Linked DNA regions of Macaca fascicularis. The protein of the gene in region 2 purifies or fractionates together with the protein of the main gene of each other region. This does not show direct contact. Links are inferred from orthologs where the notes say so. Each region holds a gene or a part of one and is shown on either strand. Other genes may lie near its edges. The genes, in order: MRTO4, CEBPA and CDK4.

The links.
Region 1: the proteins of CEBPA (region 2) and MRTO4 purify together in Homo sapiens (affinity purification with mass spectrometry; 3 studies listed by BioGRID and IntAct, with this or other methods). This does not show direct contact. The link is inferred for Macaca fascicularis from reciprocal best matches to the Homo sapiens genes CEBPA and MRTO4.
Region 3: the proteins of CEBPA (region 2) and CDK4 purify together in Homo sapiens (affinity purification with western blotting; 3 studies listed by BioGRID, with this or other methods). This does not show direct contact. The link is inferred for Macaca fascicularis from reciprocal best matches to the Homo sapiens genes CEBPA and CDK4.

What each region holds. Positions count from the first base shown.
Region 1 is NC_088375.1:215,822,875-215,832,446, forward strand, and holds the end of MRTO4 (mRNA turnover protein 4 homolog), read right to left. Parts: intron 8,899-9,572; coding exon 8,795-8,898; intron 7,784-8,794; coding exon 7,702-7,783; intron 7,392-7,701; coding exon 7,324-7,391; intron 7,022-7,323; coding exon 6,870-7,021; intron 6,066-6,869; coding exon 5,989-6,065; intron 5,862-5,988; coding exon 5,712-5,861; 3' UTR 4,539-5,711; downstream 1-4,538. Other genes in the region: aflatoxin B1 aldehyde reductase member 4, read left to right, coding at 691-878, 1,071-1,175, 1,961-2,057, 2,269-2,368, 2,940-3,069, 4,160-4,321. UniProt on the Homo sapiens protein: Component of the ribosome assembly machinery. Nuclear paralog of the ribosomal protein P0, it binds pre-60S subunits at an early stage of assembly in the nucleolus, and is replaced by P0 in cytoplasmic pre-60S subunits and mature 80S ribosomes.
Region 2 is NC_088393.1:40,579,996-40,590,402, forward strand, and holds CEBPA (CCAAT/enhancer-binding protein alpha), read right to left. Parts: upstream 6,140-10,407; 5' UTR 6,020-6,139; coding exon 4,943-6,019; 3' UTR 3,542-4,942; downstream 1-3,541. UniProt on the Homo sapiens protein: Transcription factor that coordinates proliferation arrest and the differentiation of myeloid progenitors, adipocytes, hepatocytes, and cells of the lung and the placenta.
Region 3 is NC_088385.1:64,562,140-64,572,470, reverse strand, and holds CDK4 (cyclin-dependent kinase 4), read left to right. Parts: upstream 1-1,287; 5' UTR 1,288-1,411; intron 1,412-1,848; 5' UTR 1,849-1,867; coding exon 1,868-2,085; intron 2,086-2,240; coding exon 2,241-2,376; intron 2,377-2,493; coding exon 2,494-2,661; intron 2,662-2,818; coding exon 2,819-2,928; intron 2,929-4,091; coding exon 4,092-4,142; intron 4,143-4,278; coding exon 4,279-4,414; intron 4,415-4,977; coding exon 4,978-5,070; 3' UTR 5,071-5,352; downstream 5,353-10,331. Other genes in the region: TSPAN31 (tetraspanin-31), read right to left, coding at 6,305-6,379, 6,466-6,579, 6,883-7,014, 7,347-7,427, 7,684-7,851, 8,392-8,454.

The DNA.
Region 1 (9,572 bases), on a different chromosome or scaffold from region 2:
CCAACTAGGATTCTTAATAGGGGGCAGGGAGAAGAGTGTTAAGCTTACTTTTTTTTTTTTTTTTGACAGTCTTGCTCTGTTGCCCAGGCTTTACTGCAATGGCGTGATCTAGGCTCACTGCAACCTCTACCTCCCAGATTCATGCAATTCTTTCTTTCTTTTTCTTTTTTTATTTTTTTGAGACAGACTCTCACTTTGTTGCCCAAGCTGGAGTGCAGTGGTACGATCTCAGCTCACTGCAAGCTCCGCCTCCCAGGTTCATGCCATTCTCCTGCCTCAGCCTCTCGAGTAACTGGGACTACAGGTGCCCACCACCATGCCCAGCTAATTTTTTGTATTTTTAGTAGAGACAGGGTTTCACCGTGTTAGCTAGGATGGTCTTGAACTCCTGACTTTGTGATCCGCCTGCTTCAGCCTCCCAAAGTGCTGGAATTACAGGCGTTAGCCACCACACCCGGCCGGTTCATGAAATTCTTGTGCCTAGCCTCCCTAGCAGGGATTACAGGCGTGCACAACCACCCCCAGCTAATTTCTGTATTTTTAGTAGTGATGGGGTTTCACCGTGTTGGCCAGTATGGTCTCAAATTCCTGACCTCAGGTGATTTACCCGCCTCGGTCTCCCAGTGTGCTGGGATTATAGGCGTGAGCCACCACGTCCAGCCCTAAATTTTCATTTCTCTCTCCTCTCAGTGAAAATTGCTACCAAGGCCAATCCATGGATGGGGAACTCCCTGAAGCCTGACAGTCTCCGGTTCCAGCTGGAGACGTCACTGAAGCGGCTGCAGTGTCCCCGAGTGGACCTCTTCTACCTACATGGACCTGACCACAGCACGCCGGTGGAAGAGACACTGCGCGCCTGCCACCAGCTGCACCAGGAGGTGAGGGGACCCCTGAGCTCTGGGAGGTGGTGTGCTGCTGCTCTCCTTATCCCGTTCCTACTCATGACAGCAGAGGTACCAGGGCAGTCCCAGGGTGGAGCAGGGAACAGCCCCACTACCAAGGGCCCCACCCTGGCCTCCCCTTCCTGGTCTGGGCTGCACTGCGTTCTGACTGGAGCCTCACCCATGCAGGGCAAGTTCGTGGAGCTTGGCCTCTCCAACTATGCCGCCTGGGAAGTGGCCGAGATCTGTACCCTCTGCAAGAGCAATGGCTGGATCGTGCCCACTGTGTACCAGGTGAGGGCCGGGGCTGCAGAGGCCAAGGTCTCCAGAACTCCTGCTCATCCTGGGCTGTCTTTGCTGCCCTGACTGCCCCCTGTGCCCTCTGCATAGCAGCCACTCCCCTGCTGAAAGCCTGCAGATGGCTCCCAGGTACCCTCAGGATGCCATTCAAGCTCCTCAGGCTGGCCACTGGGCATCTGCTTCCTTCCTGCCAGCCTGTGCACCTTGGACCCTTCCTTCCCCACCTGGCCCTGCATTCAGCCTGGAACATGCCCTTCCCCGCCACTGTCCCTTCCATGCCACTGCCCCTTCCCTAGGAGAACGGTTCAGATCTCATATACGTCTCATCCTCTGGAAGCCTTTCTAGATGGGCCCAGAAGACCCTGAGACCTCAGGTCGTTGTTTACCTCCTCATGATTCATTGCACAAATATTTGTACACCTGCTTGGTGCCAGGCACTGGTCACGGAACTTTCTCGTCTATTAAGATTACCTCATTACTCGATTGTAACTATTTATACTTGACCTTATTATAAAACCTTGAGGGAAGGGACCCTGTCCTTTTGGCTTAAGAATCTAAATCTGACAACCAGCCTGTAGTTGGTGCTCATGAAAGTTGGCTCAATGAATGAATTTTCCTCGGGCATAAGCCCCTTTCACCAGCACCATAAGAGTAAGTAAATGCCCAGATGGTTAAAGTCCTAGAATTGATAAGGTCTGAAATAAGGGCTCTATAAGGGTAAATTTGAGGTCCCTTCTTTTGACACATCCACTCTCTCTCCGGGGTCCCTCTCCCTGCAGGGCATGTACAGCGCCACCACCCGGCAAGTGGAAACAGAGCTCTTCCCCTGCCTCAGGCACTTTGGACTGAGGTTCTATGCCTACAACCCTCTGGCTGGTACGTGGAGCATTCCTGACCCTGACTCAGCCTATTCCCGACCCACAGATGCCCAGCCCAGGACCTGGGAAGCAGGGAGGGTTTGACAAGGGGCTGGGCTGCGTCCTTCAGCCCTCCTGGGTCCCCGCCCCTCCCCTAGACCAGAGCCCTGAGGGATGTGGCAGCTTCTGGGGCACTCTAGGTCCTTGGGCTGATCGCTGCCTTCCCGCAGGGGGCCTGCTGACTGGCAAGTACAAGTATGAAGACAAGGACGGGAAACAGCCCGTGGGCCGCTTCTTTGGGCATCAGTGGGCAGAGATCTACAGGAATCGGTGAGCTGGGGGTGCTTGGTGTGGATGGCTGGGGTGGGGTCGGCTTTATGTGGAATGAAGTCCTGGCTGCTCCTGGGGTAAGGCCTTTCCTCGCTGCTGCACCTACTCCCCTGCATCCCTTCAGGAATTTCCAAACCCTACGGGGGTTTTCTTGTTGTCTGGGGACCTCCAGTAGAAAATGAGGCTCCCTGGACCTCAGGGTCTTGAAGTTGTAGCTCTTTCCTGAGCACTCACCTGCTAGGAAGGAAAGAAGGCGCCCTGGAGGGAGGTCCAGGAGGCCTCGGGCTGAGTCCTGCCCCGTCTCAGCGGCCTTTGTGTCCCTAGGGGAAAATAAGAGCAGGGTGATGAGTTCTCAGGAATAAAGATTGGTTGAGGTCTCTGTTGAGAGGGCCGGCATCTTGGGTGGTTCTGATGCCCAGCAAAGTGGGAGACCTATGACCAGAAAGGACACCCTCCCCTCAGGGCTGCAGGGTGTGGGGTGGGCCAGTGGCCCTGGATGACCCTTTTTGGTTGTGGCTCCCAGTATGACCCCCATGGTACTGACCCCTGTGCCACCGTCCCCCCTTTCCAGCTTCTGGAAGGAGAACCACTTCGAGGGGATTGCCCTGGTAGAGAAGGCCTTGCAGGCTGCATATGGCGCCGGCACCCCCAGCACGACCTCAGCCGCCCTCCGGTGGATGTACCACCACTCACAGCTGCAGGTAACCAGCGACCCTGGGCCCTCAGCTCCTTCCCTTCCAGGGGGACCAGCATTTAGGTGAAGCCCAAAGCATTTGTTTTCTCGATTCCTCTGAAATTTCATTCTTCTAAGTCTCATAAAACTCTTCCCACTGTTTTTTTTTTTTTTTTTTTGATACAGAGTCTCGCTCTGTTACCCTAGCTGGAGTGCAGTGGCATGATCTCAGGTCACTGCAACTTCTGCCTCCCAGACTCAAGCAATTCTCCTCCCCCAGCCTCCTGAGTAGCTGGGATTACAGGCGTGCACCACCGTGCCCAGCTAATTGTTTGTATTTATAGTAGAGACTGAGTTTCGTCAAGCTGCCTAGTCTGGTCTCGAACTCCTGAGCTCAGACAATTCACCCTCCTCAGCCTCTGAAAGTGCTGGGATGACAGGCGTGAGCCACTGTGCTCCGCCTTCCCATCGGTCTCTGATGGTATCTGAGTACCAGGCTTTGTAATGAGGGCTTTGCTGCAGGGATTTCATTATTCCTTTGGCTTTATGAAATGACTGTCCCAGTGTTATTGATGAGGAAACTGAGTTTCACCCAGCTATGAAAGGGGAATACATTTTAACACAGGTTTAACTGTAAAGCCCACTAATCTCATCCTTTTGGTGGGAGCTGGAATTTCCCTCTCAGTGCCTCATGTCTTCCTCTTTCAAATTTTTCTCCAACTCCAGCCTTAGATGTTGCAATAGTGTCTGGCACATATATAGTAGGTGCTCAATAAATAGGAGCTAAGTGCTCTACATTACTTTTTCATACACATAATTATGTTGAAAATAGAGGATTGAGTGTCAGAGAGGTTTTAATAACTTAGTCACCTTTACACGGCTGCTGGGGGGCAGAACTGGGCTGTGAATGTAGGTGTGTCTGGAAGCGTCATGTGGTAGTAGGGGAAATAATACAGGTTTTGAGTGACATGGGTACAGCTATCCAAGGCACCTTAAGTTCTTTCTGGACATATGGGATATAAAAGAGCCCAAATCTCGGTAGGGTCGTGACTGGGAGGGTTGTGAGTGAAGTCGCTGTGTAGCAGAAGAAGGTTGAAGTCTGGCTGTCTCCCTTTCAGGGTGCCCACGGGGACGCGGTCATCCTGGGCATGTCCAGCCTGGAGCAGCTGGAGCAGAACTTGGCAGCGGCAGAGGAAGGGCCCCTGGAGCCAGCTGTCGTGGATGCCTTTAATCAAGCCTGGCATTTGTTTGCCCCCGAATGTCCCAACTACTTCATCTAGGCCCATCGTGGCTCAGGCTGCCCAAGGCTCTTCTGTCACCTCTTTTGCTCTCTCATGCTTTTTGTAATTTAGAACTGCCTCAGTAAATTCTTAGGGACGGAAGTATTTGGACAAAAACTTAACAGTAGAGTCACCACCAAACGAAGAATAAAGCCTCCCAGGATGCTGCGTGTTAGTCTGTTTCCGTTGCTATAAAAGAATACCTGAGACTGGGTCATTTACAAAGAAAAGAGGTTTCTTTGGCTCACGGTTCTGCAGTCTGTACAAGAAGGTGTGGTGCCAGCATCTGCTCTTGGGGAGGGCCTCAGGAAGCTTACAGTCATGGCAGAGGGGAAGCGTAGCCAGCATGTCACATGGCAAGAGAGTGAGCAAGAGACAGACGGGAGAAAATTCACACACTGATGGGGGGAATGTGAAATGGTACAACCACTTTGGAAAATAGTTTGGCAACTTCTCAAAGGATTAAACATAAAATTACCATAGGATTCAGCAGTTCCACTTGTGGGTATATAGCCAAGAGAAGTGAAAACGTATCTCCCCACAAAAAACTTGGGAATGAGTTTTCACAGTGTCATTACTCATAATAGCTGATAATTAAAAACAACCCAAATGTCCATCAATGAATGAATGCATAAAGAAAATGTGGCATATTCATACAACAGACTATTATTCGGCCATTTAAAAAAAAAAAAAAAAAAAAAAAAAAGAGTGGCTCACACCTTTAATCTCAGCACTTTGAGAGGCCAAGGCAGGAGGACTGATTGAAGACAGGAGTTCCAGACCAGTCTGGGCAACAGTAGTAGAGACAGGGTTTCACTGTGTTTCACTGTGTCAGGATGGTCTTTATCTCCTGACCTTATGGTCTGCCCGCCTCGGCCTCCCAAAGTGCTGGGATTACTGGCGTGAGCCACTGCACCTGGCCCAGAGCTTTTTTTTTTTTTTTGAGACGGAATCTCGCTCTGTAGCCCAGGCTGGAGTGCAGTGGCTGGAGTGCAGTGGCCGGATCTCAGCTCACTGCAAGCTCCGCCTCCCGGGTTTAGGCCATTCTCCTGCCTCAGCCTCCAGAGTAGCTGGGACTACAGGTGCCCGCCACCTCGCCTGGCTAGTTTTTTGTATTTTTTAGTAGAGATGGGGTTTCACCGTGTTAGCCAGGATGGTCTCGGTCTCCTGACCTCGTGATCCACCTGTCTCGGCCTCCGAAAGTGCTGGGATTACAGGCTTGAGCCACTGAGCCCGGCCCAGAGTTTTATTCTTTATAGGAGGTCAGTGCCCATCACATTCCCTGTCTACAGACAAATAAACAGCTGCTCTCTTCAGAGGGGCGGCAGCAGTCCTGCATGGTCCAGTGAGACCCAGAAGGTTCCAGGAGGCCTTTAATTTTGAGTCCCTTTCAGTCATCGTCTTCTGAGTCTGACTCTTCTGCGGACTCGGATGCGCTCTCTGGCAAGTCGTCTCCCATCTGCTGGAACCTTCCCGACTGTGAATCCCACATGTATTTGATGGTCACCTTGAATTCAGCCATCTCATACCCAAAAAGCTTCTGCAAGAGACAAAGGGAACAAAGAATCAGGAGGAATGGAGGTATTCAAAGTGCAGGGGGTCGTTTTCAGCAGGCAGAAGCCAGCCAGCGGCCCCTCCTGCAATAGCCCTCAAGGCGCCAGACTCACCAGGATGCGAGCCTGCTCTGGGGTCAGCACATCGCCCTCCTTGCACACCTCAAAGTCGGATAGCAGAGTCACTACACCTGCAGAAGAGGGTGGCTCTCAGTTACCTCTGGCCCAGAGGCCTGCAGAGCCCTCTCTGTCCCTGCCACGTTAGGAGGAATCCAGTCAGCCACCTGCCCTCCCCACAGCTCCATCACACACTGGGCAGTGGCTGTCTCCCTGAGGTCCCTTTGATTCGCCACAGCCTTGACCTCCTGGGTTCAAGTGATCCTCTTGCCTCAGCCTCCCATGTAGCTAGGACCACAGGCACACACCACCATGGCTGTCTAATTTTTTGACTTTTTTTTTTTTTTTTAAACCGGCACCAGGCCCCTGATGTCCCTGTCCCTCAACAGCTGCAAGACTATAAGTTACTGTCTGCTGGAACCCAACTGTGAGGCGTGCACTCTTAGCCCCATTTTCTTTTTTTTTTTGAGACGGAGTCTCGCTGTGTCTCCCAGGCTGGAGTGCAGTGGCGTGATCTCGGCTCACTGCAAGCTCCGCCTCCCGGGTTCATGCCATTCTCCCGCCTCAGCCTCCCAAGTAGCTGAGACTACAGGCGCCCGCCACCACTCCCGGCTAGTTTTTTGTATTTTTAGTAGAGACGGGGTTTCACCATGTTAGCCAGGATAGTCTCGATCTCCTGACCTCGTGATCCACCCGCCTTGGCCTCCCAAAGTGCTGGGATTACAGGCTTGAGCCACCACGCCCGCCCCTTAGCCCCATTTTCACATGAGAAAATGGAGGCTTGTAGAAATAACTTGCTCAGCCAGAAAGGGATGAGCTTGCAGGCTTGTGCTCTTGGACTCTAGGCTGTGAGCTTTTGGCTCCAGGGCTGCCCATACCTCTCTTGAGGGTGGTGGGCAGGCCCAGCTGCCTAAGCTGTGGCTCCATGGAGTGGGGGAACTGCTCCAGGGGCCCCGGGTCCAGGCTCACAGTGAATGCTGCTTTGTTACCAGCGCGGGCGTAGTCCATTTCTGTGTATTTTGTGAACCACCTAAGGGAAAAAGAAGCGGTAGGAGGGGATGCTCCTGGCCACACCACCAGCCCATGAGTCAGGCTCCCCCAAGTGTCCCGTGGCCCTGGGCCTTTACAGACCTTGGCTGCTGGCCAGCAGTCAGCCCACCACACCATGCTGGAGAGGGCAGAGAGGGCTGTGGTCCCAGGTCACTAGCTCAGTGACAGGCTTCCAGGAGCAGTTCCGACTTGATGCCGCATATGGAATGAAGTCCCTGCATCATCCCCTCCCTGAAATCCCCCTCACCCGCCTCTTTCTCTCCGTTCCTCAGCAGTACTTACTCATTCACCTCCTCCTTTGTGCAGTTGGTGAACAGGAGACCCACTTCACCCCTCAACCTTTTGCTGACCTACAAATCAAGAGTGAGGCCAGCTTGGTCACATTAGAGCAGTGGTTCTCTACTAGGCACGTTTTTGCTCACCAGGGGACATTTGGCAACGTTTAAAGATGTTTCTGGTGGTCACAGCAGGAAGGAGTGGGAGGCAGGAAGGGTGCTATTCCCTGGGTCCGGAGGTGAAGGGAGAACCCGGAGCTTTAAGCCAGGCCCTGCTCTCCCTGAGCCACGGGCCAGCCGACGGCTAGGGGAGGCTATCACGTGGGAGTAGTGGGAGAGAAGGCGGCTCTGCTTCAGCCCCACCCCGTGAAAACCAGAGATTTACCTGGTGCAGGTTGTCTTTGTACTCATCAGATGGGCTTCGACCCAAGGCCACCATCATTACCTTGTTTTTGCCAAAGAACATCCTACCAAGCAAGAGAAAGAGCGTTCTGTGAAGGAAGTGCCCTGCCCTCCCCGCCCCTTAGCAACATGCAAAGCAGCTCTGGTCCCCAGTGAGCTCAGGCCCAGGCTGAGCCAGTGGCACTCACTTCTCCATGCTGCCTGGCCACACTGTCCCCACTTCGGGGTCCTTTTCATTATGTTCCCACCCACAGACCCCTGACATGGCAACACTTTGTCTCCCAGCCCATCACGAGCATCATGTACGGGTTCTCCATCTGGATGTATGCAGGAGGCACGTTAACAGCCTGAACCAGAGCTGGGGCGGCAGGAGACCAACACCAGAGCCACCTGCTCCAGGACAGAAACTGCCCATGTGGCTCCTGCATCCTGCTCCCAGGTGACTGTCTGTGTCCCAGTGCCCATGCTGACATTCTAAAACTGGTGTGATGCTCCTAAATGGCCCAAAGTCCAGGGTTAAAGGGCCACTTCTCTGGAAAGGACCACCTCTCAAACACCTCAATTGCCAAGTCCTGCCCCCAGGAGCTCAGTGCAACATCTGCTTTTTTTCTTTTTGAGATGGAGTTTCACTCTGTCACTCAGGCTGGAGTGCAATGTGCGATCTCAGCTCACTTGAACCTCATGAGTTCAAGCAATTCTTCTGCCTCATCCTCCCGAGTAGCTGGGATTATATTATAGATGCCCGCCACTATGCCCGGCTAATTTTTGTATTTTCAGTAGATAAGGGGTTTTGCCATGTTGGCCAGGCTGGTCTCAAACTCCTACCTCAGGTGACCTGCCTGCCTCACCCTCCCGAAGTGCTAGGATTACAGGTGTGAGCCACCGCACCCGGCCCAAGACCAGCTGTAACAGTGAAAAGGAAGTGCTCTTCAGTGGCAGGTAGCACTTTGTCATTATTAAGGTGTCAGTGGCATGACCCAGGCACCTAAAGGGTCAGAAATTGCTCCTATACTTTGACTGAGAGCAGCCTGGCCGGGTCCCCACTCAGAAGGGCCTTCTTCCCCCTGCCCGCTCACCGGCTGTGCTTCCAGGCGTTCCGGATGTCCTTCAGCTTGCTGTTCCTCATGTTGGCCACAGAGAAGATGAAAAGGTACTTGTAGGTGTCCACACATTTCCGAAGCTGTGGGACAATTCACCAGGCTCTGAGTTCAAGCAGCAGCATACAATGGGCACTACTCTGGCCTCAGATGAGAATGAATCTGCTCTGGGCCCCTGACAACTATGGAAACTGGAAGAACTGGAGGCCTCTAATTGGGTTGTCTCCTACCTCTATTACTGAAATTAGGATCCCTAACTACAGGGGAGGCTGAGCCATGGATCTATACCCCACGGCCTTTTCCAGGTTTCTCACTTATCTATGACCAACAGTGGAACTGACCATCAACGGTTAACCTAGAAACATTCACCCACACTACGAAGGGTCCTGCTACGTGGAAGCATATGGAGCCTCACTGTTATAAGGGGAGGCAGCTGATCGGCACTGCTCTGCACGTGGTGCTGGCCAAAGCCACCAGGAGGCAGCCTCCAGGAGTGGAGTCATTGTGCAGAAGGAGACTGTTTCATCCAGCCTGCAGCCCAGGTTGGCAAGTCAGAAGCTGTACAGACAGTGGGTTGGTGCAGTCACCTACACCTGGTAAATCTCCCAGCTTTTTTTTTTTTTTTTTTTCTGGAGACGGAGTCTCGCTCTGTCGCCCAGGGTGGAGTGCAGTGGCCGGATCTCGGCTCACTGCAAGCTCCGTCTCCCGGGTTCACGCCATTCTCCTGCCTCAGCCTTCCTGAGTAGCTGGGACTACA
Region 2 (10,407 bases):
TCCTAGTGGGTGGGGCCAGAAGGCTAGAAAAATAATAAATAAAAACAAACCGAAGGGAAGCAAAGCTCTTGGGTGCCAGAATGGGGCTGGCCAGGGCTGCAGCTGTCTGAGTAATGGGTTCCACATTTGTCTGGCTCGGTCTGCAGCCACCAGGATCCAGGGTGCACTGTGGGCCTTGCAAGGGCTGGAGGGGACAGCCCAGCTGCAGCTGGACCTAGCATATCCTTGCAGCGGCCCCATAGCCGGCCGTCACAACAGGGCGGAGACGTTGCTGCGAGCTTCCACTTAGGCACCCCAGCTTCCCTCCCTCCACAGCCCCACCCCTGCCTGGGGCTCCTGGGTTCCCCCCGGCCAACACAGATTGTTCATGTTATTAATGCCGTTTTCCCAGAGATTCCATCTGGCTTTTTAATTGCTCTGGGATGGGGCTAGGATGCTTTGATAGTGAATCGATATCTTTCCTGGGCCTCAGCTTACGTCAAACGCTCCATCCGCAGAGAGGGGCGTGGGGGAGGGGGAGAGGTGGGGCTGTCGAGAGAGAAGAGATAGCAAGAGTCTTTCACAGAATCAAGAAAGCTTTCAAAGGTGCTGGTGGGTTAATTTTATCTAAAGAAAGGAAAAAGAGGCCGGGCAGGGTGGCTCATGCCTGTAATCCCAGCACTTCGGGAGGCTGAGGAGGGAAGATTGCTTGAGGCCGGGAATTCTGAACCAGCCTGGGAAACACAGTGAGACCCCTATCTCTACAAAAAAATAAAATTAATCCCAGCAGCTACTTAAAGGCTGAGTAGGAGGCTGAGGCAGGAGGATTGTGTGAGTTCAGGAGTTTGAGGTTGCGGGAGTGGTGACTGCACCACTGTACACCATCCTGGGTGACAGAGTGAGACCCTGTCTCTAAAAAAAAAAAAAAAAAAAAAGAACAGAAAAGCCTTCCCATCCTCACTAGTATAGGAAAGAAACAGCTGGAATATCAACACCATCTAGGCAAGGACTCTGCCCCATGGCTGGAGAAGGCCTGTGGGTGCCTTGGAGGCCCCTCTCAGCTAAACAAAGTCGGGGGTTTCTGCTCTCCCTTGACCTTCCCCATGAGGGGCCCCTTCCCCTCCTGTGAGACCAGCAGCTCCTGGAGGAGGCCTGGCAGGTTCCTGTCTGGGAAGGAGCGGGTGGGAGAGCTGGGAGGGGCAGACACTCCTCACCAGGCCCAGTGGCTCATCGCAGGTGTCAGGGCCAAACCCCACGTTTACAGATTCCCAGGAGATCCAGGAGATAAGAGTAATATCCGTGACAGCACTAAGCCATCAGGAAGCATCTGGCAGCAGAGGAGATGCCTCCCTCCCTTCTACCCTTGCCCTTTCCTTGAAGGCCAGCTAACCCTGAACAGCGCTGTCATGGGACAGAGGGCTCAGGAGTGGCACAGCAAGGGGGGGGGGGCGAGGTCCCTGCAGTCTGGTGCTACCTGTCAAGGGGAGATCAGGGCAAAGGAGAAGCATCCAGACGCATCCAGGTGGCCAGAAGGAGGCCACCCTCCCTAGGTGTTTCATCAAAGCTGCTGCCTCCAGAAAGCCCTCCCTTGTGGACCCCGTTCACACTCTGAGCTCCCCTTCGTTGCACTTGGCACCCTTAAACCACAGCTTGGGGCCTCAAGGGTGTGAGCTCCCTGAGAGCCAGAGCAGAGTCTGCTTGTTCCCAGCCCAGCGCCCCATCTTTGGTGCAGGCCCTGGCATACAGTAGACATCCGATAAGTACTTGAGGTGTGTTCAGTGCTGGGCTCTTGGAGTGGTTCTTCCTGAAGGCCGCAGTCAGGAGGGGAACTGTGAGGAACCCTGCAGGAAGCGGTGGGCGGCAAAGGGCGACTCTGTTCCCAGGAGGCCCCTACGGCTGGGCACGGGGTACGTGCTGGGCAAGTTCACCCCATGCTGCCCAAAGGGCCCTCCTCCCCTCTACTTTGGCCCACCCTGGAGACCTCGCCCTCCTCATCCCTTTCCTGGGGCTGGATGGGATTGGATCCGTCTTGTCCCTAACAAAGCCCACCCTGGAACTCAGGACCAGGAGGACTCGGGGTAGGAGAGATCCCTTCCGGAGCCGACAGCTTTGAAAGAGGAAACCCCTAGTGGGCTGGCACAGCAGAGAGGAGGGGAAGGAGTGAGGACAGGAGGGTCGCCCCACCCCCTCCCGTCCTAGGACCTGTTCTGGGGGGAAAGGGGGAAGCCAGGGATCAGCCCCCTCAAACAAGAAAAACTGGAATTAGCACTGAACTCAGAGGGTTTGCTGGGGCTCAGCAAGCTGTGGCCTGCCCCAGGCCTCTGGGCACGCGGTGGGGCTCTGCCTCCTCTGTTCCCAGGGTGGCAGGGCAGGCGCCGCCTCCTCACTGGGCTCGTGGCCTCTCCTCTGCCAAGGGCGGCCGTGGGTGAGGAGGCGGCCAGACACAGGACAGAGCAGGGGGCCGGAAGGGGTGCCAGCTAACCACGCAAGCAGGTAAAGCTGAACTTCCAGAGTGTAAAAGGAATGTGTAATTTCTCGAAAATGCCCCAGCCCGCATTGGCACACACAGTAAGCCACTCAGTGAACCTTCTCTCGGTGCAGAGTTTAAAAAAAAAAAAAAAAAGCGCAATTTATCTTTTACCCTCCAAGAGGATAAAATTTGAAAAGCACCATTAGCCTCCTGGGCCTCTTCCTCCCGGGCCTTGTTAGTTCAGGGATAAGGGCTGCCCTCCCTTGTTTAGCTGTCACTGCTGCTAAGAGGGTGCTGGAGTGCCTGAGCTTACAGGGTGCTCATTGGAGTTGGGGGCACGCCAGCACTCAGGCCCCTGCTGGGTACAGGATGAATGCAGTGGGGAGTGTGGATGCTGGGGCGGTTCTTGAATAGCCAGTGTGTGGGGCAGGACCAGACCCCTGTTGCAGGCCTGCCTCAGCCCCCTTTCCTGTGAGAGCTGGGGCTGGGCAGGTGTGGAGGGCTGGATGGAGGGGTCTTTCTCTTCAGGCTGCCTTTGGGCCTCGAAGGGGTAGGGTATAGCCACATGGTCTAGGGAAAGAGCAGAGGGTTGGAGGGTCCTACCACTGGAGGCCTATTCCTGCTGGCTGAGGATCCTGGTGGAAGCTGGAGCTGCGGTGGGTGTGAGTGAGGCTGCCGGGGCTGGAGCTGTAGGTGATTTGGAAGGAAGTCTGGACAAAGGGCTCCTTGAGCCTAGGCCTGCTGAGCCGGGCCTGCCCCTCATGCAGAGGACTCCCTCTCCTCCTCCCAGGGGCAGATAAGACCTTGCCAAAGCCTCAGCCCCCTAACCTCTTCGAAGGCCCCCTCTCCTGACCCCGAGACTGCCTTCAGGCTCTGGACACTCTCCGTTTGGAGCCTTGTCCTCTGCTATTTATTTGTGTTGCCTGGGGGAAGTAAGTCACCCCCTTAGGGTAAAGAGGGGCTGGGGGTGGATGGAGAGCTCATGAAAGTCAGGATTGCCGCCAGGGAAAATGCTGTATTATTTACAAATGTGGCCTGGCCCACAGACAACCTTGGAAGTAGCTTCTTTCTGGTTTTAAAAAGACACGGACATTGACTTTCGATATGTTTATATTATAGATATAATACATAAAACATCTACGGTGAGACTCTACGTTCTCCCCAAAAGAAGAGAACCAAGCCGTCTTTCCCTGCTCCCAGCCCCAGTGATGTGTTGGCGAGAGGCCACCTCCCTTCCCGACCAGGAGCCAGGGCCTCTGGGGGACAAGCCTTGTGGGCAGCCCAGGCCGGAGGGGCCGGGGAAAGCTGAGGGCAAAGGAGAACTCCCCTCACCTCATTGGTCCCCCAGGATCAAAAGTAATCCCAAAACCAAAAGGAAAGAGAGTCTCAGACCCTTCCCCCAGCTGCCGATGGAGAGTCTCATTTTGGCAAGTATCCGAGCAAAACCAAAACAAAACAAAAACCAAATAAAATGGTGGTTTAGCAGAGACGCGCACATTCACATTGCACAAGGCACTGCTGGGGCACAGAGGCCAGATACAAGTGTTGATATCGGCTGATAAAGCAAAATATTTGGAAAGCTTGTCATAACTCCGGTCCCTCTGGGATGGACTGATCGTGCTTCGTGTTCCTAGGCAATGCTGAAGGCATACAGTACAAACAAGGCTGAGGGTCCCAGTGGCCCTTCACCCCCCAAGCCCGCCCACGGCCAGATCTCTAGGTCTCCATCTCCCACCAGGGGTATACATCCTCAGAGCTGACTCACGACCTAGCTTTCTGGTCTAACTCGTGGTGGGGGCTCCCACTGGTCACCTGGTGACTCCCATCTCAGTGAGTTCCGCCCCAAGGGAAAGCCCAGCCTATAGCAGGCTGGGGTGGGGTGTGTGCGGAGGGAGGTGGGAGAGGCGTGGAACTAGACCCTTCACCTTCATGTAGAACTAGGGGAACAACCTTAGGTTTCAAGCCCCAAGTCCCTATGTTTCCCCCCATTTCTAAGGACAGGCGCGGAGGAGCGGCTGGGGCCGGTTGGCTTGTCGGGATCTCAGCTCCCTGAGCCCTCCTCCTGCCACGGGCCTGCTCCCCTCCTCCTCTCATGGGGGCCTGCTGCAGCCTCGGGAAGGAGGCAGGAAACCTCCAAATAAAATGACAAGGCACGATTTGCTCCCCCTACTCGGTAGGCATCGGAGCGGTGAGTTTGCATTTCCAAGGCACAAGGTTATCCTTAATACTAAAGTTGCCGGGCTCCCAGCTCAGCCCCAAGAATTCTCCCCTCCTTGCAGGGAGAAGTCACCGCCTGGCCCCCTCATCTCAGACGCACCAAGTCCGGCGCAGAAGAAGGGAGGGGACACGCGGAGCAGGCCAGGCTTTCGGGAGGCACCGGAATCTCCTAGTCCTGGCTCGCATGGCTCGGGCAAGCCTCGAGATCCGGCGACCCCAAACCACCCCTGGGTCCCCGCCGGAGGCTGGCCCAGGGCGGTCCCTCAGCCGCGCGCCTCACGCGCAGTTGCCCATGGCCTTGACCAAGGAGCTCTCTGGCAGCTGGCGGAAGATGCCCCGCAGCGTGTCCAGTTCGCGGCTCAGCTGTTCCACCCGCTTGCGCAGGCGGTCATTGTCACTGGTCAGCTCCAGCACCTTCTGCTGCGTCTCCACGTTGCGCTGCTTGGCCTTGTCGCGGCTCTTGCGCACCGCGATGTTGTTGCGCTCGCGCCGCACCCGGTACTCGTTGCTGTTCTTGTCCACCGACTTCTTGGCCTTGCCCGTGCCGCCGCCGCCACTCGCGCGGAGGTCGGGGTGCGCGGCGCCCAGCCCCTTGAGCGCGCCGCCGGGGCCCGGCAGGCCGGCGGCGCCGAGCGCGGGCGCGGGGTGCGGGCTGGGCACGGGCGTGGGTGGCGGCGTAGGGTGACCGGGCTGCAGGTGCATGGTGGTCTGGCCGCAGTGCGCTATCTGGAACTGCAGGTGCGGGGCGGCCAGGTGCGCTGGCGGCGGGTGCGGGTGTGAGGGCGGCGGCGGCGGCGGCGGCTGGTAAGGGAAGAGGCCGGCCAGCGCCAGCTGCTTGGCTTCATCCTCCTCGCGGGGCTCCTGCTTGATCACCAGCGGCCGCAGCGCCGGCGCCCCGACGCGCTCGTACAGGGGCTCCAGCCTGCCGTCCAGGTAGCCGGCGGCCGCGCAGCCGTAGCCGGGCGGGGGCCCGTGCGCTCCCCCGGGCATGACGGCGCCCCCGGGGCCCGCGGGCGCGCCCGGGTAGTCAAAGTCGCCGCCGCCGCCGCCGCCGCCGCCCGCGGGGCCCGCGGCCGCCTTGGCCTTCTCCTGCTGCCGGCTGTGCTGGAACAGGTCGGCCAGGAACTCGTCGTTGAAGGCGGCCGGGTCGATGTAGGCGCTGATGTCGATGGACGTCTCGTGCTCGCAGATGCCGCCCAGCGGCTCCGGGGCGGCAGGTGGGGCGGGAGGCTGCGCGGGGCCCGCGCCGCGGGGAAAGCCGAAGGCGGCGCTGCTGGGCGCGTGCGGGGGACTCTGCAGGTGGCTGCTCATCGGGGGCCGCGGCTCCGCCTCGTAGAAGTCGGCCGACTCCATGGGGGAGCTAGAGTTCTCCCGGCATGGCGAGCCTCGGCGGCCTCCAGCCTGCGCGGGGCGTCGCCGCCGCCCACCCGGAGACCCGACTCGCCCGCGCCCGCGCAGCTCCGGGTCGCGAATGGCCCGGCCCGCGCCGGCCCAGCTTTTATACCCCGCGGCCGCGTCGCCCCCTAGAGTCCGAGGCGGCCTCTGTCCCCGGGCGGCGGCGGCGCGGCGCCCGCTGGGTCCTAGCGCGCGGCCGGGATGGAGCGGCGAACAAGCGGGGCCCAGGGCTGCGCTCCTCAGGCAGGCCGCGGCGCAACGCCCACCGCCTCCTGCGCGACCAGCAGAGCCGCGGCGCTCGCTCCAAGCTCCGCCCCCGGCCCAGCTGTCGCCCCTGCGCCCTCGTGGTTGGTGGCGGGGGCCCCCTCCTCCCGCCTCCCCTAGGCACCCACATTCTGCCACGGCTGGGAGCCCAGGAGTATCCCGAGGCTGCATGGGGTAGGGGTGGGTGGCGGAGGGGAGTCTTGGTCTTGAGCTGCTGTGGCTCGGACTCTCTTTCAAAGCCAGAACCAGGCCTGTCCGGGACCCGCGTCCCGGGGAGGCTGCGGCGCAGAGCGGCGGGGCGGGCAGGGGCCGGTGGGGGGCCGTTTGGGACGCGCGGAGAGACCCGGAGCGCGGTGGCTCTGCGTCTCCTAGCTCTGATCTCCAGGCTACCCCTGTGATTCCGCGCAGAGGCACCTCTCGGAGGACGGTGGAATCCCACGGGCGGCGCCGCGCGGGGCGCTAGGACCCCGCGGGGAGCGGAGGCGGCCTCGGCCCGGGAGCCTGAAGGACCTGGCCGGTGGATCCGCCCGGGCTGGAAAACTTTCTTTATAATTACTTCTCCAGGCCGGAGCGCGCGACTTGCTAGGCGCGCGGGACAGGCGTTGTTACCCAGCGTGGAGTCGCCGATTTTTTTTCCTGAGGGACCGGCGGGCTCCGGGAATAGCCGAGCTGGACGCCGGGGCGACCATGGGGAGGGGCGCACCGAGGGAGGAGACAAACTTGACTCTGGGGCCGGGATCCCGAGGCGGGGGCCGCAGTCCGCGAGGCCCGAAGCCACCGCTTCCTCCCCCCACCCCCCATTCAGGTGGGCGCCAACGGCCGGAGCGAGGGTGTCCAGGCCGCCGGGGCCGCCAGGTCCGAGCACCCACAGGAAGAACTCTGCCCGGTAGTTCGCTGGGCGCTGTGATCCCCGGGATCCTGGGGACCGAGGCGGCTGGGCCCTGGGGCCCCTTGAGTGTGGCACGCTAACGCTTTCACCGCGGCGGGGGAAGGAGCTTGCTACCGAGACCCCCGGCCACGTGCGTCCCTCGCATTCTTTACCGCGGCCGGGGTGGGGGCTGCGGACTGTCAGCTGGGCCCAGATGGGGTCTTGGGGGCCCTCAAGTGTCTCCTGCCCCTGCCTGCGCCGCCTTTCGCCACTGGCTCTGAGGCCTGACGCAGTCTGGGTCCTGGCTAGAGGCGCGCTTGCCTCCAGGTGAGGGAAGACCCCCTTCAGCTGTAGGAGGACCTGTGGCCTTCTTGAAGACCTGGCAAGGCGCCACGACCCGCCCAGGAGCCCCTGAGGGGGCGCAGCTAAAAACACCGCTGGAGAGCCCTGAGCTTCCACGACGATCGCAGTAAAGAAGCGGTTTCTTCTGGGCAATGCACACTGCGCTTTAATCAAGTTCCTATTCAACATAGTCCCAGTGATTAATAGCCCAACTGCTTCGTTTTCGGTCCAGAGCTCATAAACAAGATATTTTTAGCTTGACGCTTTTGGACGGGAGGGAGTAAAAACCAGATACGTTAAATAAATAACCCGATGTGAGCCGAAGAGCTGCTTGTTGAGCCAAATGCAGGACCCATTCATATACCATCCACCTGTGGAGGGAGACCTGGACGGAAATCAAAAAACACCCAGAGCGATTTGCATGTTTTTCTGCAGTGCTAAAACTAATGGCTTTTCCTAGCTAGGAACAAAGAAACGCCTCTATACATGCACGGTTCCCGGCCTGTGGAGTTGTGGGACGAAGGCGATGTCTGGCCTTTTTTGCACAGCTGCTGTTGCCTGCCCGGAGATCGGGAACTCTGCTGGGTAGGACTGGAAGAAACCTCAGTAATGGGAATAAGACTTGGTCCAATAGCGGGCTGATGAATGTGTGGGGGCGACAGTGGCAAGGAGTGGGGCTCCCGGCCTGGGGGTCTCCAACCCTAGGGGCCACAGGTCCTCCTACAATTGAACCAGAATTCGCCCACCCGAGCCTGCCCTGTGCAGGGTGCCAAGAGCCCAGTGATGCGTGAGAAGGTGGCTTGTGCCTCTGGGAACTGGGACAGTGGGAGAGACTCATAAGTTGTCACACAGAGGCTGCTGGGAGGAAGGAGGAGACAGAAGGAGTAGGGGATGGGACTTCATTCATTCATCAAATGCACAGGAGGCACAAATGGGAATCAAGGGTGGATGTGCTATGATGAAGAGACTTCCCGCCCTGAACAAGGTGGCGCTGTGGAGGAGGCAGAGATCAGATTTGTCTGGGGAGGTGTTATGGACTGAACTGTGTCCCTGCCCTAAATTCCTATGTTGAAGGCCTAACCCCCTCCATGTGACTGTATTTGGAGATAAGGCTTTTAGGAAGTCATTAAAGTGAGATGATGTCATATGGGTAGGGTCCTAATTTGATAGGATTGGTGGCCTTATCAGAAGAACAATGTCATGGGCGCGCACAGAAAGGAGGTGGCTGTCTGCAAGAGGGGAAGAGGCCCCTCGGCAGAACCTGACGGTGCTGGCAACTTGGCCTTGGCCTTGGGCATCCAGCCTCCAGAACCGTGAGAAATAAATGTTTATGGTAGGCCTATGATGGCAGCCTGTGTGGACTGAACCGGGGGGTGAGACAGGGCTTCATGCAGGAGCAGACCTTTGAGCTGGGCCTTGAAGGTTGAGCAGGAATTTGCTGGAAGGATAAGGAGGGAAGGCTCTTCTACGAGGAGGGAATGGTAAGTGCAAAGGTGGAGAGCCTGTGAGTGCATGTGTTCTGGTAACAAAGGACGAGATGTTTGGCAGGCTGGAGAGTGGGGTGAGGGAGGAGGGGCCTAGATAAGGCTGGATCCACAGACCGGGCTGGGCTGATGGCCAAGGCCACTGCAGGTGAAGGAGGAACCCTTATCTCCCAGGCTTTTGACCTCCAGTTTTTAGCAGGGGAGCTTCATCGTCCAATTTGGGTTCCTGAGAAGCTACTCCGGCCAAGACAGAGAGGGGGTGTTGACCAGATGGGAAGGATGGAGACTTGAGGCCCCAGTATGGAGCAGGCAGGGTAGATTTGAACAAGATGTCAGGACTTGGGGGGCTGAATGCCAGGCTTCTGGCTGGGATTACTACCCCCTGACATATGTAATGCCCAGGAAATTGGAGGCCCCTCTCCAAGCCCCCAGGAGGCAATTGGGGACTCATTCCAGGATACTCACCTGCCTGCTTTGTGGTTTTGGAGGAGAGGACCTTGGAGCAGTTGCTAAGATCCATCTACCGTGTTCTGGTTTTTCCTTGGAAGCCTAAGAGTGTACCTTGGGATGAGGAGGAAATGGTTTTGAGGGCAAGTGGTAGGTCTCTGGCTAGGCCCGGCTGGGTGCTCAAAGGACAAGGGGTATCTAGGGCACTAGGTAGAAGTGTCCTGCCCAAGCCCTAAAGCAGGAAATTAGCTGGGGAGTTGGAGTGAGACCCTGGGGTCGATGGAGCCACTTTCCATGGGAGATTCCCACGGGGTAAGGGAGGGGCGGGCTGATGCCTGACAGTCTCATAGACAGTCGGCTTGTGGCCGGAGAAGTGGGAGCAAAGGAGAAATCACCTCTAATTGAGAGAAGTGGCTCTGGCTCGTGTGCAATTGAGACAAAGCCAGTCATTAAGAGCAGCTTGTAAATTCTTCTGTCACCACCTTTAAGGTCCTTCTTCCTGAGGCTGTAGATGGGAGTGTATACAGGCCGGGTGTAGGGGGGTGAGCGTGAGTCCCCGGGAAACGGAGGTCCTGAGTTTTGGGTGCTCCAGGATGAAGCCTGGTTCTGGAGACAATTGCAGCACTAACCGTTTTGAGAAGACAAACAGAGCCCTAGAATTGTTTTATTTTACTTTGGTTTAACCTTCCTAATGCAAGGCCCATGAGAGAATTAGTACATAAGTTTGGAAATCAATCAAATTCTGAAGAGCAAAAACGGAACTAACCCTTCCTATGTAGTTTTCTGACTTTATCTGAAGCTGAAGTGTGTGTGTAAGATTGGTCGCTCCAAACAGGACCAATTCAGATAAGATAAAAGTCCAAAACTATGATTTCAGGCTCAGCTGAGCTCTGGCTAGGGGCACAAATGTCTAATATGGTCTATCTAATTATGTTTCAGTG
Region 3 (10,331 bases), on a different chromosome or scaffold from region 2:
CAAAGAAAGTAGGAGAAATCTACCTACGTCTACCTCGGTGTCTGTGGGCAGAGGCCATTTGGGAAAAAGTGTGTTCTGGACACCGCTAAGTGCTAAGAAAGAGGCACTAGGGAAAAAGAGGGAAGCACAATGACTCCAAATGAGCAGTCACAAGGTTTACAGAAGGAGACATGTCATTTTCATTCATTGTGGTGGTCTGGAGGGTGCAGGGGGTGTGGTGGTAACTTTCTTGCACATGTACACTCCTGTATCCATCTTATATATTACATGTAATAAATAATATATACATACATATATACATAGAAGTATATATACACATATAAAAATATCACATAATCATAGAACCGTCCTACTGGGGAAAAAAAAAACTTAAAGGTCAAGTATTCCTGTCTCCTGCTCATTAATAACTTCTCTGCCAGATGGCCTCAGGTCTTTGCATTAACACTCCCAGGGAGATTTGGAAGTTGAGAAAAGAGGGGGCATTACCTTGTCACTGAACCTGTTGGATTACTGTATTAATCTGCCTTCTGTCCGTCCTTTAATCGTAGTTTTGCCCTCAAATGGGCATTGTTTACTCCCTATTTTAGAAGACCCCATTGTTGGCTACATCTTTCTAGATAGTCGTACCACTACTTTAAAGGGCCAGTGACAGACACCAGAAACAAAACAAAATAAAAACCCACATACACACTGGAAGCAAGCACTCAGTAAAATGTTGTAGAATTAATGAATGAATCAATGACACAAATGAGAGTATGTTTTATCATGGTGGAGCGAAAAGGTGACAGCATCACCTCTGGTACCCCAACTCCCATTCCCTCCCCAATGTAGACAGGCTGAAAGACCGGTAGTGAGACTGGAGTTCAGCCTTCAGACCGGTAGTGAGACAATCCTTCAGCCGGGAGTTGGGCTCTGGGTGGCCTAGGTTGCCATGGCACCGCCTCGGGCTCCACCCTCTCTTGTCCCCTTACCGCGCCCCCCCGCGGCGGGGGTTGTGGCAGCCAGTCATGTGCCCGCCGCGTAACCACACCTCTGCTCCTCAGAGCAATGTCAAGCGGTCACGTGTGATAGCAACAGATCACGTGGCTACCATCGCCCCTCCGCCCCCTTACACTCTTCGCCCTCCTCCCCGTCAAAGCGGCTCCTGGCCACCCCTCCGCGCATGGGTGGCAGTCACGTGCCCAGAACGTCCGGCGTTCGCCCCGCCCTCCCAGTTTCCGCGCGCCTCTTTGGCAGCTGGTCACATGGTGAGGGTGGGGGTGAGGGGGCCTCTCTAGCTTGCGGCCTGTGTCTATGGTCGGGCCCTCTGCGTCCAGCTGCCCCGGACCGAGCTTGGGTGTATGGGGCCGTAGGAACCAGCTCCGGGGCCCCGATAACGGGCCGCCCCCGCAGCACCCCGGCCTGGCGTGAGGTAAGTGCAGTCCCTTCCCGGGAATGAGAACCAGTGCCCGCCCCCCTCACAGTTTTCCACGCGTTCGTTTCTCGAGCTGGTTATGGAGGGGTCGCTCAAGGGCGGGAAGTGGGGCCTTTGTGGTCATGGGAAAGTATAATTTTAGGGACTGAGGTGTAGGATCTTTGATGCAAGGCATGTGTCATGTGTGATCTTTGTGCAGGGCGCGATTGTCCCAAAGGAAAATGCGTTTTTTATTGCAGGGCCTCACGTGGCTGGAGGGGTTGGTATTGAGTCATTGTGTTATCTCTGGGGCCGGCCCCAAGGAAGGCTGCGAGCGGGGGATGGGATGCTAGTGTTGCTCTTTGTGCTTTTTTTTGGGAGTCCTTTTGTTGCTGCAGGCTCATACCATGCTAATTCTGTAAGGGACTTTTGGTGATAGGAGTCTGTGATTGTAGGGTCGCCCTTGATCTGAGAATGGCTACCTCTCGATATGAGCCAGTGGCTGAAATTGGTGTCGGTGCCTATGGGACAGTGTACAAGGCCCGTGATCCCCACAGTGGCCACTTTGTGGCCCTCAAGAGTGTGAGAGTCCCCAATGGAGGAGGAGCTGGAGGAGGCCTTCCCATCAGCACAGTTCGGGAGGTGGCCTTACTGAGGCGACTGGAGGCTTTTGAACATCCCAATGTAGTCCGGTGAGAAGGTGGTGACGAGGGGAGTGGGGAGTAAAGGGAAAAGACAGCCTATAGGTGGGGTGTGGTGATCTGTAGAGAAGTGGGGACCCTGAGGAAATAATGAGAGGCCATGTTGGGTTAAAGGGGATTGAAAAGTGAGCATTTACTCTGGCCAGGCTGATGGACGTCTGTGCCACATCCCGAACTGACCGGGAGATCAAGGTAACCCTGGTGTTTGAGCATGTAGACCAAGACCTAAGGACGTATCTGGACAAAGCACCCCCACCAGGCTTGCCAGCCGAGACCATCAAGGTGAGTGGGCTTGGTAGGCATTGAGAGGTGGATTGGGACCTTTGTAGTAAAACCTCCTGGGATTTCAGGTATGGTGCCTAGTTTCCAGTGCATCTGTACCTCCCCCTTCTAAACTAGGATTTGATGCGCCAGTTTCTAAGAGGCCTAGATTTCCTTCATGCAAATTGCATCGTTCACCGAGATCTGAAGCCAGAGAACATTCTGGTGACAAGTGGTGGAACAGTCAAGCTGGCTGACTTTGGCCTGGCCAGAATCTACAGCTACCAGATGGCACTTACACCCGTGGTCAGTAGAAAGATGGTACCAAAATGGGTTCTGGTTGGGAGTAGGAGAGTGATTGCCTGTAGCAATTGAGAAGTCATGTGCTTCATGTGTTCAGTCAAGCAAGTTGTGTTTTGTGGTAACCCATGGAGTCCCCATCCATTCTTCCTATTCTCTTTAGGTTGTTACACTCTGGTACCGAGCTCCCGAAGTTCTTCTGCAGTCCACATATGCAACACCTGTGGACATGTGGAGTGTTGGCTGTATCTTTGCAGAGATGTTTCGTCGAAAGTATGGGACCCACATACCCTGGACCACCTTGAATTCCCCAAATTGCTTGTTCATAAACCACGTCCACACCCTGCCCATTCTTTCTTTTTCTTTTTCTTTTTCTTTTTTTTTTTTTTTTTTGAGACCAGGGCTTGCTTTGTTGCTCAGGCTGGATTGCAATGGCATGATCACAGCTCACTGCAGTGTCAACCTCCTGGGCTCAAGTGATCCTCCCATCTCAGCCTCCCAAGTAGCTGACACTCCATGCCCAGCTAGTTTTTTAATATTTCTGTAGAGGGGGGGGGTCTCAGTATATTGCCCAGGCTGGTCTTGAACTCTTGTACTCAAGCAGTCCTCCCACCGCTATCTCCCAAAGTGCTGGGATTACAAGCGTGAACTACTGGACCTGGCCCCATTCTTTTACTTGCATACTACTGACTACTTTGCCCATAGCAGAAAGCTCTGAAATGCTCTAGAATTAGGAACTTCATATCCCTTTATTCTCTTTTATTTATTTATTTATTTTTGCAATAAGGTTTCACTCTGTCACCCAGGCTGGAGTGCAATGGCCCAATTACAGCTCACTGTAGCCTCTATCTCCTGGGCTCAAGCAATTCTCCCGTCTCAGCCTCCTGAGTAGCAGAAACTATAGGTGCATGCCACCATGACTGGCTTTTTTTTTTTTTTTTGAGACGGAGTCTCGCCTTGTCGCCAGGCTGGAGTGCAGTGGTGCGATCTCAGCTCACTGCAACCTCCGCCTCCCAGGTTCAAGTGATTCTCCTGACTCAGCCTCCCAAGTAGCTGGGACTACAGGTGCGTGCCACCACGTCCAGCTAATTTTTGTATTTTTAGTAGAGACGGGGTTTCACCATGTTGGCCAGGATGGTCTCAATCTCTTGACCTCATGATCCGCCTGCCTCAGCCTCCTAACGTGCTGGGATTACAGGCGTGAGCCACTGTGCCCAGCAATTTTTTTTTTTTTTTTTTTTTAAGAGACAAGGTCTTGCTTGCCCAGGCTGATCTGGAACTCCTGGGCTCAAGCAGTCCTCTCACCTCAGCATCCCAAAGTGCTGGAATTATCGACCTTTATTCCCTGTGCTTTCTATTTTGGGCCACTAAGCAGTAACCATTCAACTAAGATATCTTTGAAAATGACTGCTACCTTATGTCCCTTCTCACCTTAGGCCTCTCTTCTGTGGAAACTCTGAAGCTGACCAGTTGGGCAAAATCTTTGAGTAAGTGACCAACGGGGGAGAAAAAGATTTTCTATTCTCAGTCCTCTTTCTGCTAAGCCCAGGATGGCAACTGGCTCTGCCCATGGGGATGGGAACTGGAGGACCCTCCTGACCAGAGTTCTCCTGTCCCCCACAGCCTGATTGGGCTGCCTCCAGAGGATGACTGGCCTCGAGATGTATCCCTGCCCCGTGGAGCCTTTCCCCCCAGAGGGCCCCGCCCAGTGCAGTCGGTGGTACCTGAGATGGAGGAGTCGGGAGCACAGCTGCTGCTGGTACTGGAGATGGCTGTGGGCATAGGGAGAGACTGGGGAAAGAAATAGAGCAGTGTGCAGGGCCCTGGCCACTGTGGTTAATGAAACTTGGTTGGTAGATGGGCTGTAGTTTTTATTACAGCTGCAGATGGCCACCCACAGAGAGGGATGTGGAAGAGAACCCATCCTGGCTGGGCGTGGTGGCTCACGCCTGTAATCCCAGCACTTTGGGAGGCCAAGGTGGGCAGATCACCTGAAGTCAGAAGTTGGGAGACCAGCCTGGCCAACGTGTTGAAACCTTGTCTCTACTAAAAATGCAAAAATAAGCCGGGCGTGGTGGTGCACGCCTGTAATCCCAGCTACTTGGGAGGCTGAGGCAGGAGAATCACTTGAACTCTGGAGGCAGAGGTTGCAGTGAGCTGAGATCATACCATTGCACTCCAGCCTGGGCAACAGAGCAAGACTCTGTCTCAAAAAAAAAAAAAGAAAGAAAAGAAGAGAGCTCATCCCAGGTATTGTCATGGGTGGGTAGAAGTCTCTCTCAGTTTTCTTCATGGTTTTCTGACCTTTGGCTCTCCCCTCAGGAAATGCTGACTTTTAACCCACACAAGCGAATCTCTGCCTTTCGAGCTCTGCAGCACTCTTATCTACATAAGGATGAAGGTAATCCGGAGTGAGCAATGGAGTGGCTGCCATGGAAGGAAGAAAAGCTGCCATTTCCCTTCTGGACACTGAGAGGGCAATCTTTGCCTTTATCTCTGAAGCTGTGGAGGCTCCTCCTCCATCTTTCTACAGAGATTACTTTGCTGCCTTAACATTTCCCTCCTACCTCTCCTTTTGAGGCTTCTCCTTCTCCTGCCCCACTATTTCTCTACACTAAGGGGTATGTTCCCACTTGTCCCTCTCCCTACCTTTATATTTGGGGTCCTTTTTTATACAGGAAAAACAAAACAAAGAAATAATGGTCTTTTTTTTTTTTTTTTAATGTTTCTTCCTCTGTTTGGCTTTGCCATTGTGCGATTTGGAATAACCACTTGGAAGAAGGGACTTTCCTGCAAAACCTTAAAGACTGGTTAAGTTACAGGGCCTAGCAAGTCAGTGGAGCCCCTTGACTGACAAAGCTTAGAAAGGAACAGAAATTGCTTCTTTGAATATGGATTTTAGGGCGGGGCACGGTGGCTCACACCTATAATCTCAGCACTTTGGGAGGCCAACGCGGGTGGATCACCTGAGGTCAGGAGTTCGAGACCAGCCTGACTAACATGGTGAAACCCTGTCTCTACTAAAAATACAAAATTAGCCGGGCGTGGTGGCGCACACCTGTAATCCCAGCTACTTGGGAGATTGAGGCAGGAGAATCGCTTGAACGCGGGAGGCAGAGGTTGCAGTGAGCTGAGATCATGCCATTGCACTCCAGCCTGGGCAACAGAGCAAGACTCAATGTCAAAAAAAAAATATATATATATATAGATTTTTAAATGGCTTTTTTATATTCACTGAACTTTCTCAAACTGGGTCCTGCTTATTACAGGAAAGAGCTCTTGGTGGTTTTCTCCTTGGCTCTGTCCCTGATTTACCCTTAGAGCCACACCCCAGAGTATGTTGAGGTGATCCAGCATATGGACGGAGGAGGGGAAACAGCTAAGAATGACTCCAGCCTATCCTATGTACCCTCAGAAGCTTCCCATATCCTCTTGGAGAGAGAGGGAGAAAGTTTTTCCTTTTATTCCTTATAGTCTGGCTCCCACTAAAATATGTCAAGCCATAAAGTCTTGCTATTCCATCAATTTTAGAGGATTTGACAAGGGGCCTTTCCTTTTTCTCAAACCAAAATGGTTACAGACCCTAGATATTCCCTAAGGGAGGAAGAGAAAGCTTAGAGCAGAAGAGAAGTCAGAAGGATCCAAAGTCTCATAGAAAGGCACTGGGGTTGGCTCTAGGATCCTTCTGATTCCGAAATCTCATTGCTAGCCAAACACCAAGGATCTGTAGGAACAAAGGGAGAGAGAAGCATCAATCAATTCTCAGTCTCAAGTTGAAAAGGATGTGCGTGAGGAAACTGGAGAATGTACCTCTGTAAAGCTAAAGAAGAGTCCAACACCCCCTAGGATTTTCAGGGCTTCATCTGAATGCTTAAGAAACTTTTCTCCACACATCTGGCATGTGGGGCTCTGGTTCTTGCAGATCTGAGGATAAAACGTGTGTGTGAAGAATGCAAAGTTGCTAATGTAAAGTTGCTAGTCACCAATACCTATGCCGAATGTCTCTAGAAACTTTCCTGTTATCTGACCAGCGTCCTACAAACTAAAATCCGACTTGGCTAATTCCCCAGCCTCTTTATCCACCCCCACCCCCCACCAATACACAGCCCCAATACAAGAGGGCTTCTCGAGAAACAATGACATTCGAACTAAATTTGCCAACTTGGGCATTGTCCTTACCCAGTTTCCTACCTCCCCTGCCTGCTGCACCACCCCCAACACACTCACTGCAGTGCAGAAATCATAATCTTGTTGGTACAGGGTTGTGAGGTTGAATAAGCCACAACAATCAAAACTTCTTTCCAGTTCATCCCGAGTCTTGTTGCTCATGACCCACCAAGAAGCATTGATGACATCTGTCTGGAGGATATGGGCAGAGAGAAATTAAGTCTCCCTACATCCCAGTATCAGTTCAAGTGCCTCAATTTCCCTAGTCCAGCAAAAGAAGTCAACCAGAAGCATAATGGTGTGCCACAATTATAGACACAATACATATCTACCTTTTCAGGTTCTCTAGATCATCCTCATGAAAAATTAACCAGACATTCCAGAGGAAGCAAATAGCCCAAGGGGCCAGAAGCAGTGCACCTAAGGATGATCTTTGGGTAGCTGGGGCCAGACTAAGGAAGGAGTTTGAGGTTAAGAGGAAAATTTTAAAAAGCAAGTAAGTACTTGAAAGGGTACTGTCTTACCTGTTTGCTTCGGTTAATAGCCAGACATGAGCAAGAGATTACAAATTGGAAGATGAAGACCAAACCAAGGATGATCATGTACTGAGAGGAAAGGTTATGGAAAAAAGTCCTAGATTCCTTTATGTTCCATCTATAACTGGTCTCATCTGTTCATAGAACTTATACCACCATGTCAAATTGAAAGCAATAAAATCAGCTCTTGTTTCGTAGATTATGGGACAGGGCAGGGCAAGGAGACATGTCCAAAATCCCTGAGGTCCCCTACCCTTTTAACATCTTCCATAGATGACAGCCCTCCCAAGAGCCCAGTTGCCCCCATCACTTCAGGTTAGGATACAAAGAACAGCAGGACTTGGTGGTGGTTGACAGCACCCACCAGTCCAGCCACTGCGATAAGGAGAAGGAAGACTCCCACAGCAATGACTCCGCCGATGATGTGGATGCTGGACACCAGACCCAGGCCCTTGCCCCAAGCAGCCACTCCAATGAGCAACAAGCTCACCAGCTACAAAGAAAGCAGGATACATCTCAAAAATTCTAGCATGAGCACGGCCCAAGGCCATTACAAGAGGACTTGGGGGCGGGGGTGGGGAAGGAATAATAGAATGGTGTGTGAATGGGAGGGAGGGGGGTGGGCGGGGCGGGGGTGGTGCTATCGCCACCAGGAGCATCCCTGGGCATTCCCAAAGGTTAGAATGGCTGGGATGGGGTATAGGGGGTGGCAGGGATAGTACTATGAATACAAAAGCTGAACCCTCAGGATCATCCTATCACTTCTACTTTGGGAGAAACTGAGGTTCAAAGGAGGGAGGGATGGAACTTATGCCCACGGCCTTAAGTTCATTCCCCCACCCCCAGACAAACCCCTTCATCAACCGGTAGTCTTCCCTCTCCCACGGAAGTCCCCAGGAATTCCCTCTTCGCCGGAAGTTCCTGGGAATCTTCCCGGAACCCCTATACACCCCTTTCCCCAACGGAAGTACCCTGGAGATTCTCCCCACGGGGCCTTTCCGCCCGAAAGCTTCCCCCACCTCCAAAACCTCACCATGTAGACCACGTTGAGAGCGCAAAGCGCATTCTTGGAGCAGGCAAAGCCGCCGCAAACCATCTCCCCAGCTCTGAGGACCCAAGTGGTCCCAAGGACTTGGGGGGAGGGTATTGGGGACCGTCTTCCAGGACCCCGACAGCTTCTGTCTCTTTAAATCGAGGCCAGCCAAACCCAATTCTCTGCGCCTGCACCGTCCCTCCCCTGCCTCTGGATTGGCGAAATGCGTGGCTAATCCTGGACGTCCAAGGCCTGCATGCCAATCAGCCCGCATTACGTCACTGACCCGCCTTCTGTCCTCCTCCTCTTGTTTTTTCATTGGGCGAAACTGAAAACTAGGGGCAGGGCTTCTAGAGATTCTCTCAGGGACAACAGTCTAAACTCCAAAAGCTTGAGTTGAAAGCTGAGCTTTCTGTGGTCGGAGTTAGGAGAGGGCTAATTCGAGGGAGACGGCTCTGGAGGAATTTAGGTGAAGGGGACACGGCGGGAGGGGCAGGTGGGGGGCCGCTCCGAGAGCTGGGCAGAAAGGGCTCCACCGGTAGAAGGAGGGCCCTTCCGCCCTCCCTTCCCCCTGTGCTGCAGTGACTTCATGATGACGCCATTGTTTTGTTAATGCGTCACGCTCGGGAACACCCAAAGGAGCCACATATTGAGCTTATTTAGCCCGGCCACAGAGTCCGCGGATTGGACACAGCAACACCCAGCAAATCATCATACGTTTGTGTGTCCGCCAGTACCCATGTCCTCTACCATATACCCTCCTAAAAGGGGTGTGAATATACCAGAAATTCAGTGTGGAAATAGCGGCCTCAGGCCAGCGCATTCCTGTGTGTGGCATTGCCACAAGTGCACACACGGGTGTGCTCAGCATTTTCAGAGTACACGCCTGATCCAGGGCTTGCAAAAAATGACAGGCAAGAGGAAGAGTCTTGGATATAAATAAATATAAGGGGAAGGAGTCTCCACCTTTTCACTTACGGGTGGACTGATCAGTAACTTTATTATCTAGTAAGTGCTTTGACAAACCGTCCTTTTCACGGGGGTAGGGAAAGGCATAATCCTTCTCTCCCCAGGAGAAAGAAACAGTAGGAACAAAAAAGAAAACCCTCTAATCAACTCAACAGAATGATTTATGTTTGTGTGTACTTAAGATTCTATAGTCTACTGCCACAGTCAGATTGCCACTTGGATTGCCACTTCTAGCTGTGTAACCTTTGGCCAGGCGCTTAGAAACTGTCTGTGCCTGTTTCCTCATCTGTAAAATGGGGATAAATAACAACACACCTACCTCTTGGGTTGTGAGAATTAAATGAGTTAATATATGTAGAATACTTAGAAGAGTACCTGGCACATAGTAAACACTCAATGTTAATTATTACTTTTCAGGTCATTTTACAGGTTCCTGTGGGCAATTCCAACCTTAATTCCCTTATCTGTAACTACACGGTATTGATATAAACTTTCAGAAATTAATATCAAAAAGGTATGCAGAAGACATATTTGACAGGGCCAGAGAGGTGTTTGGGTCTTGAAACAAGGTAATGTATTATTATTATTATTATTATTATTATTATTATTATTATTTTGAGACAGAGTCTTCCTTTGTAGTCCAGGATGGAGTGCAGTGGCACGATCTCAGTTCACTGCAACCTCCACCTCCCGGGTTCACACAATTCTCCTGCCTGGCTCAGCCTCCCGAGTACCTGGAATTACAGCTGCCCACCACCACACCCAGCTTTTTTTTTGTATTTTTAGTAGAGACAGGGTTTTGCCATGTTGGCCAGGATGGTGGCAAACTCTTGACCGTAGGTGATCTGCCTGCCTGGGCCTCCCAAAGTGCTAGGATTACAGGCGTCCAGTGTAAACAAAGTAATTAAGTCAAACTACCCACTACCTCCCACCTCCCACCCCCTCACTCCCCACCTACATCCCCTTCCTAC